2 linked regions of the Mus musculus genome follow. The protein of the gene in region 2 interacts with the protein of the main gene of each other region in a biochemical or structural test. Links are inferred from orthologs where the notes say so. Each region holds a gene or a part of one and is shown on either strand. Other genes may lie near its edges.

Region 1 (4,025 bases), on a different chromosome or scaffold from region 2:
CCTCTGGAAGAACAAGCCCTCTTAACGGCTTACCCATGACTCCAGCCCAAGAAAACATAATCTTAGAATGTAGACTTGTAAAAAACTATTAAGAACTAGAGTATAGGGAAGGAAATGTCGGTGTTATATATATTACACTAATAATATAAGGGACAATTACAGATTGTAGTATCCTGGTGCGTGTAGGATCGTGGAACTATATCGCTCACAAATATGAGATATTTGCGCCAAACATCGTACTGAACAGTTATCTAAGTAGAAAGGTGTTTACAGTAAAAAGATGAAATAGTGCTGGATTTTGGTTGTTTGGTTTTGTTTGTTTTTGCCTTTGTTTTTCTTTTTGGATGGAAGACTTCCCAAACACAAGAAATGGTTTTATATTTCTATTTGTGAGTAGGCTTTGAGGAATAAAAGAAGAAACCGTTTCCTGGTAAGGGAGCAAGTCATATAAGCTAAACACCTCAATTTGTCACACTGACAGCGCTAGCCTCTCTACCTCACTTCTCACAAGTGGCAGCCACTGAGTAAAGACTGGAGTGGAAGCAACCAGATGGTTTACAGCTCAGGAAGTGGGGCACCAGGCTCCCCAGCAGTAGTCACCCCACACCCTATCACGTCCAGGGTTTGGAGTCTAAGGAAGACACTCGGGCCAAAGGAAAATCCAGCCGACCCACCTGACACCAGACTGGAGAACTCCGGAGGGATTTTCCCCGGAGGAAATCTTTTCCAAGCCTCAGCGATGTCCACCCGGCTTGTGGGGGGAGGGAGGCCTCTGAGACACGCCCATGATCTGCAGAGGGAGGAGCCGGCAGAGGGAGGAGCCCGCAGAGAGGGGAGCTTGCAGAGGGAGGAGCCGGCAGAGGGAGGAGCCCGCAAAGATGGGAGATTACAGAGGGAGGGGCCGGCGGAAGGAGGAGCCAGAGGACAGAAGAGCGGGCGGAGGAGGAGCCGGCGGAGGGAGGAGCTGGGGGAGGGCGGAGCCGACGGAGGGAGGAGCTGGCAGAAGGAGGAGCCGGCGGAGGGCGGAGCCGGCGGAGGGAGGAGCTGGCAGAGGGAGGAGCCGGCGGAGGGAGGAGCTGGCAGAGGGAGGAGCTCACAGAGAGAGGAGATTGCAGAGGGAGGAGCCGGCAGAGGGAGGAGACCGCGGAGGGAGGAGCCGGCGGAGGGAGGAGCCGGCGGAGGGAGGAGCCGGCGGAGGGAGGAGCCGGCGGAGGGAGAAGCCAGGGGTAGGAGGCAGGGGCTGAGGAGTTGGTGAAGGTAGGAGCCCGCCCAGGGAGGGCCGGCGGAGGGAGGAGCCCGCCGAGTCCAGGAGGAGGGAGGAGGACGGTCCACCCCGGCGCGGCCGCAGACCCGACGGGCTCCCTGGCACAGCTGACCGGGCCGGAACTGCAGCGGCCACGCGGGAATGGGCCGCCCCGGGACCTAGCGCCGCGGCCAGGGTCGGGCGGAGCCGCCGCGCAGCCGGAGCCATGAACGGGGACGCCATCTGCAGCGCGCTACCCCCCATCCCGTACCACAAGCTCGCCGACCTGCACTACCTCAGCCGGGGCGCCTCTGGCACGGTCTCGTCGGCACGACACGCAGACTGGCGCGTGCGGGTGGCAGTGAAGCACCTACACATCCACACGCCGCTGCTCGACAGGTAGGGCGCCGGCGCGGGGCCCCACACAGACGCGGGCTGGGTGGTCCACAGACCGGCCGCACTATGGCGATGCGCCGGCTCCGCCGCGGCGAGTCCTTAAGTCCTTGGGCTAACCTGATCCAAGGGAGAAACCATCCTGGACGTGCGTCAGACTTTGCAACTCGCCCTGCCTCTCCTCCCACCCGAGGTGTTCCCACTCTCCAAAAACCTGCAATCACGGCCACCTCTAAAACCCTGTTTATTGAACCCGACGTGTGTTGGTACAGTGCTTGTGGGCTTTGCTTTGTTTTAGCTAGCTGTTAGCGGTAAGAGCTGTGGAACTCTAAAAACTGCTCTTGGAAATGAAGTACGCAGTGACTGCAAAATACACACCGGAGTTTGAGCATTTAGCACTAAAAAGAAAAATAATAATACTATACCGGTGTTTTTATATTGATTAAACGTCAAAATATTTTTCTAGGGTTTTATGTGTGTTTCACTCCTGCTCCTGAGCCTGCATATTATGGCTTGGTTTGGTTTGATTTGGTTGGTTTTGTTTTCTTTGTGGTTTATTACGTGCCCTCATGAAGTTCAGTTATCAAATTCTACATTACCAGTTGTTATTCGAGCTCTTGCCTTGGAAGTCCCCAAAGGAAGTGTGCAATGTTTTTTGTAACAGTAAAATGAATCAAAAGCTATTAAATGGTCAAAATTTGTGAAGAATAAAAGTTTTGACCATCCCTTGCCCTGGTATTATTTGTGTCCAGCTCCCACATATTCAGAAGAAAGAAAAAAAAAAAGCGTTGGTTTCTGTTTCTAGGAAAACATTACAACTAAATACCATAGATCTGTGGCTGTATGTGTTAGTCAATGGATCTAGTCAGAACTCTTGTGTGTTTCACTTCCATCAGAAATTGAACTAGACCTTCATTCAGTTCTTAGTGCACTTGCTAACCTTGGTGGCTACAGGCCTCTTCTCCTGCTGGATCTAGTGTGAAAATACAGAGATCATAGCGGCCCTATTGGTCAGAGGCTGTTAACCCTGGGTATCAGGTCAGATACAGCATCAGATAACTAACTCTCTTGCTTCAGCCCTGGTAGAATGTTGGACTTTCATCTGCCTGGAGGCGCCCTCCCTCCCTCCAAGGGCTAGATCACAGTGTATGTGGAGCCAGTGCTGTGTGTGTGTGTGTGTGTGTGTGTGTGTGTGTGTGTGTGTGTTCACGTGTTCGAGCACGTGCGCCTAAGTAGTCAACTTTAAAGGGAGGTTGGTTAGTACCAAGCAAACGAATGGTCTATGGAAATGTAGCACTAATAGACCACTAGGTAGACTAAAGCTAGTTGCTTTCTCACTTTTGATTCTGCTTTTCAAAGCTTCGTTTGTGCCATTTGTAGGCCAAGGGAAAAAGATGGACAGGATGGTATTGCTTTCCCATATTCACCAACCACTTATGGTATAATTTCCTTGCATTGGATAGGGCATTGTCTTTATAAAACCAGCACAATCCCCTACCTTACTGCATTGCATTCTTTTATCTTGCTGTCTAAGATCTTACCATGAGCACAGGCCTAGGCTTATGCAACTGACTCTGAGGGTGTCTTACTTCCTCACCTGTTAAATATGAATAATAAACACTGTATGTATATTTGTTGTGCTCTGGTGTGGATAATGTACCCATTGTTCTTTAAGATTACCTGAAAAGAAAATAAGTCTAGGTGACGTTGCATATTATTTTAATAATTAGTGAGTCACTCTCCATTGCCAGTGAGTGGGACTTCCATAGCAGTCTTCCAGCCTTAATGGACTGATGACTCTGATTGGTTGTTCAAGTACCCTAGAGATGGAGAGCTGTTTCCTATTGACATTTTGAGTTAGGCCATTTTCATGATACAATTATTGAAGCTGTATTTTGCATTTTAAGTTTCTAAAAATCTTTTGCTTTTGTTTTCCCCCTCAATCTTGTTGAATTCTAACCTCACAAACTATCTGATTTGCTTTTCTCATCAAACAATAGAATAGAAAAGCACAGATGTTAGAGTACCAGGGCTACAATTTAAATCTGACTTAAACCCTGTCACTTTGTATTGTTGTCACCAAAGGATCATTCATTTTTTTCTGACTGTAGATGCTCCAATATGTAAACCAGAGAGAATGAAACAAGCTTTAGAGAGTTGATTCAAGGGTTGGACTGTATATAAAATGGCTGGCAGGGAGGAGGAATACATCATACCTTTCTATGTTTGTATGTACATGCATGTGTTTGTATTAGCATACACACATAGGAGATCCATGTGCTGCTGACCCACATGCATGATGGGTAGGCCAGAGGTCAACTTCAGGTATTGTTCCTCAGGACCATTAAGAGAGAGAGAGAGAGAGAGAGAGAGAGAGAGAGAGAGAGAG
Region 2 (4,159 bases):
ACAATAAGGCATTTTATCTCTAGATTGACCAGGGCAGGTTTCTCACCGCTAGATTATGTCTCCTTAAGTCTGATGCTAATTGGCTGAAGATGGAGGAAAGCAGACAAAGTTTCTCTGTGTAGCCTGGCTGTCCTGGAACTCACTCTGTAGATCAGGCTAGCCTAGAACTCACAAATATCCATCTACCTCTGCCTCCTGAGTGCTGGGATTAAAGGCATGCATCACCACTGCCTGGCAAGAGTCAAGTTTTTACAAGAACATTGATATAGCTAAGCACCTTCCCTTGAAAGAGAAAAAGCTAAAAGAAGGAATTTTGTTTTTCTAGATTTATTCATCCTGTTTATAAAACAAAATTTGACAAGGAAAAACTAAACAAAAATACAAGAAAAAAAAAACCACTAAAACAGATCAGGACAAAAAAAACAAAACAAAACAAAAACCCCAGACTTTTAAAAAAACATATTTTTAAAGATTTATTATTATATGTAAGTGCACTGTAGCTATCTTCAGACACACCAGCAGAGGGAGTCAGATTTTATTACAGAGGGTTGTAAGCCATGTGGTTGCTGGGATTTGAACTCAGGCCTTTGGAAGAGCAGTCAGTGCTCTTAACTGCTGAGCCATCTCTCTAACCCTTTCAAAATATTTTTTAAAACGTATTTATATATTAAATATGTGTACAGGTGTTTTGCCTCACGCCTGTGCGAATACAGGTGCAGTGCCTGAAGAGGCCAGAAGGCCGCAATGGATCTCCTGGAACTGGAGTTACAGATGTCTGTGAGCCATCTTGTGAATGCTGGGAGCAGAACCTTGGTCCTCTACCAGAGCAGCAAGTACTTTTAATTGCTTAGCCACGTCTCCGGCCCACAATCACACCTTTCAAATACAAGAATCAGTGTGGTTCTAGCATTTTTAAAAAACAAAGTCTTACTATGTAGCCCAGGCTGGCCTGGAACTCACAGAGATCCTCCTGCCTCGGCCTTCTGAGTGCTGGGATTAAAGGCATTTGCTGCTACCCGCAGCTGTAGTTCTGATCTTTGAAATAATAAAAATAACCTGAAATTGAGATCCATACGTGTTTTGTTTTGTTTGTTTGTTTGTTTTTAACAAATGTTCCTTTCAGCTCTCTTTCTTGATAAAAACAAAAAGTGAAACCAGAGACTTTTACAGAGTTACTCGGGTTTTTTTCCTCCTAACGTCTTACTTTTTTAACTTAGCAGTTATATTCCGGACAGTTGTGGCTCTTTTTTTACAGTGAAGGACTTGGAGGCTGCAGGAGGGAAGCGCGGTGAGGGTGGGGTGGGGATAGGCCTCTTAAGGCGGAACTCACAGGCTGCACATCTGTTTTCAATGTTTTGTAAGAGCCAAGAGCCTTCAAGTAAAAACTTTCAGTAAATGACACGAAGAGGAGCTGGGTCCAGGAAGTCACGCACAGAAGAGCCACGGAAATCCCCAGCCAGGGTGGCCACCAAGGGTGAGGAGGAAGTGCGTCTGGTTTTCACCCTGGAGTTCCCCGGAGCCCTGGAGGAAAGCACCGCAGGTCTGAGCAGCCCTGAGCCGGGCAGGGTGGGGGCAGTGGCTAAGGCCTAGCTGGGGACGATTTAAAGGTATCGCGCCACCCAGCCACACCCCACAGGCCAGGCGAGGGTGCCACCCCCGGAGATCAGAGGTCATTGCTGGCGTTCAGAGCCTAGGAAGTGGGCTGCGGTGAGTACGCGCGCGCGTGGGGATCCAGCCAGGGTCCCCGTAGTGGCTCGAGGATCACCGGGGTGACTAGATCCGAAGGAGAACCTGCAAAACCCGTTTCTATGCATCGGTGGTCCTGCGGGAGGGCGACCTACAGGTTGGCCACGCTGACCCTGGCTGCCCCCCCTCCCCCCACCCCCTCCCCGCTTGCGGGAGCTCGACTTTCTGAGTCTTTTCCGGTCTCTGACTTTCTGAGTGAGGCGTAGGTGCCGAGAAGTTGCATTTTAATTAGGCTGCTGCGGGAGGCATCTGGGAGACTTGACACAGTGAGAACTCTGGCGTCTAAGGATGAGCTTGTGGAAAGCTCATGGTTGTTTTCTTGGTGGCCAGCTCAGGAAAACACTACAGCTCTTTCTTTTTTTTTGGGGGGGGGGGGGTGTTTCGAGACAGGGTTTCTCTGTGTAGCTCTGGCTGTCCTGGAACTCATTCTGTAGACCAGGCTGGCCTCGAACTTAGAAATCTGCCTACCTCTGCCTTCCAAGTGCTTGGATTAAAGGAGTGATGGGTGTGTCAGAGACCATTTCACACTATAGCTGACTGGGGCTTTGAACTTCGGAAAAATCCTCCTGCCTTAACCCCTTCAGTGCTGGGATTATAGGCCTGAGTCACTGTACTCAATTTCTCAGCAGTGCTCTTAATCTAGCCGGTAAATCTCTGGAGTCGTTTCTGTCTGCCCCAAGCCAGGTTCTGATCATCCGTTGTAAAAAGCAGGTGCCATTACTATCCCCTTTTCGCACCTAGGAAACTGAGGCACGAGTGGCTTTTCTTAGTCTCACTATGGAGCACTGGTTGGGCTGGAACTGGATAAGTAAACAGGCTGGCTTTGAACTCAAGGAAACACTGACGTCTACCCACCTCTGCCTCCAGGGTAATGGGATTAGGGGCGTGTCTGGCCACTTGGTGGTTTTCTTGCCCAACATTACACTGTTGGTGGAAAAGGGACTGACTCTCTTGAAATCCTGTGATGTGAGACTCCAGAGCATGGGAGTAAATTGCCACGAGGTCAAGTTAGCAGTAATAGGGGGAAATTAACAAATGAAAGTGCCATGAACATGCTGGGCACAGCCAGCTGTGCTAAGAAATTCTTCCATGCCAGTGTTTGCTGGGGTTAGTAGTGCAGGTCTGTAATCTTAGCACTTGGGAGGTGGAGGCTGAAGGATCAGGTGTCCAAGGTCAGTCTGGGCTGTGTGTCTCACACAACAGCAGCTAGGCACTGTAGCTGCAGCTACTACAGAGGTTAAAGCTTATTTCCTATTCTGTAGGAGATATGGTCCAAGGTGGAGGGAGGAAGATGGCACAGCTAATTGCTCCAGAGGGTGGGGGCACACAATAGTCTCTGGGTCTACTGGACATGGTAGTGTAAGCAGAGAAGAAACTGGGGTGCCAAGCTCATCTATAAGGAACCACTGGAAAGAAAGAGGGCTCCTACACACTGATGTGGACTAGGGCAGGGATCAGAACAGGCCTAAGAGGAAGCAAATTTTATTTTATGAGTATGGAGAGGGAAAGGTGCTGGCACACGGACTGGCTGTCTGTGTGGAAATGTGGTTCATAAACAAATGTTCTGCCGGCTTGCCAGACTCAGGAGTGGCTGGAGTAGAGACTTCAGCATTACTGTATAGAGGGACAAGGACCCTGCGGGGTTTGAGGAAATATGAAGAAGAGTCCTTCAGAGTAGTAGGAGGGCCCATGAAGGGGCACTTGTTTCTCTGAGGTGGCCAATAGACCTGTGAACAGAGGGCAGGCAAAGGAAGGCAGGCTGAGGGCCTCACCTAGTGAGGAACGGAGCCAGCTGAATGAAACAGTGATCTTGGAAGGACTGAGGGTTATTTCTACAAATTCGGCTCAGGATGTAGAGAAAACAATTGCGTCTGTTGCTGGGGACACAAACTAGTCTAACCTCTAAGGAAATCAGTGGAACAGACCCTCGAAAGGTTGAAAACAGAACCACCATAGGACTGAGCTCTACTGCTCCTTGGCAGGCACATGGAGGAGTATACCTGAGTACCCTGTCACTGCACTGTTCCTGTGAGGACACACCATGGCCAATACAACTTATAAAGGAAAGCATTTAACTGAGGCTTGCTTACAGTTTCAGGGGGAAGTCCATGATCACCACGTGGCAACATGCAAGCGGGTGCTGGAGCAGTATGTCTTAGTTAGGGTTTTACTGCTGTGAACAGACACCATGACCAAGGCAACTCTTATAAGGTCAACGTTTAGTTGGGCTGGCTTACAAGTTCAGAGGTTCAGTCCATTATCATCCAGGAGGAACACACTGGCATCCAGGCAGACATGGTGCAGGAGGAGCAGAGAGTTCTAGATCTTCATCTGAAGGCTGCTAGTAGAATACTGGCTTCTGGACAGCTAGGATGAGGATCTTAAAGCCCACACCCACAGTGACACACTTACT

What was found. The genes of interacting proteins can lie anywhere in the genome.
Region 1: the proteins of Birc3 (region 2) and Ripk2 form a complex in vitro, tested with the Homo sapiens proteins (2 studies listed by BioGRID, with this or other methods). The link is inferred for Mus musculus from reciprocal best matches to the Homo sapiens genes BIRC3 and RIPK2.

Annotation. Positions count from the first base shown.
Region 1 is NC_000070.6:16,160,841-16,164,865, reverse strand, and holds the start of Ripk2 (receptor-interacting serine/threonine-protein kinase 2), read left to right. Parts: upstream 1-1,222; 5' UTR 1,223-1,469; coding exon 1,470-1,642; intron 1,643-4,025.
Region 2 is NC_000075.6:7,870,371-7,874,529, reverse strand, and holds the start of Birc3 (baculoviral IAP repeat-containing protein 3), read left to right. Parts: upstream 1-1,359; 5' UTR 1,360-1,395; coding exon of another isoform or gene 1,396-1,540; 5' UTR 1,541-1,707; exon of another isoform or gene 1,708-1,843; intron 1,844-4,159. UniProt on the Homo sapiens protein: Multi-functional protein which regulates not only caspases and apoptosis, but also modulates inflammatory signaling and immunity, mitogenic kinase signaling and cell proliferation, as well as cell invasion and metastasis.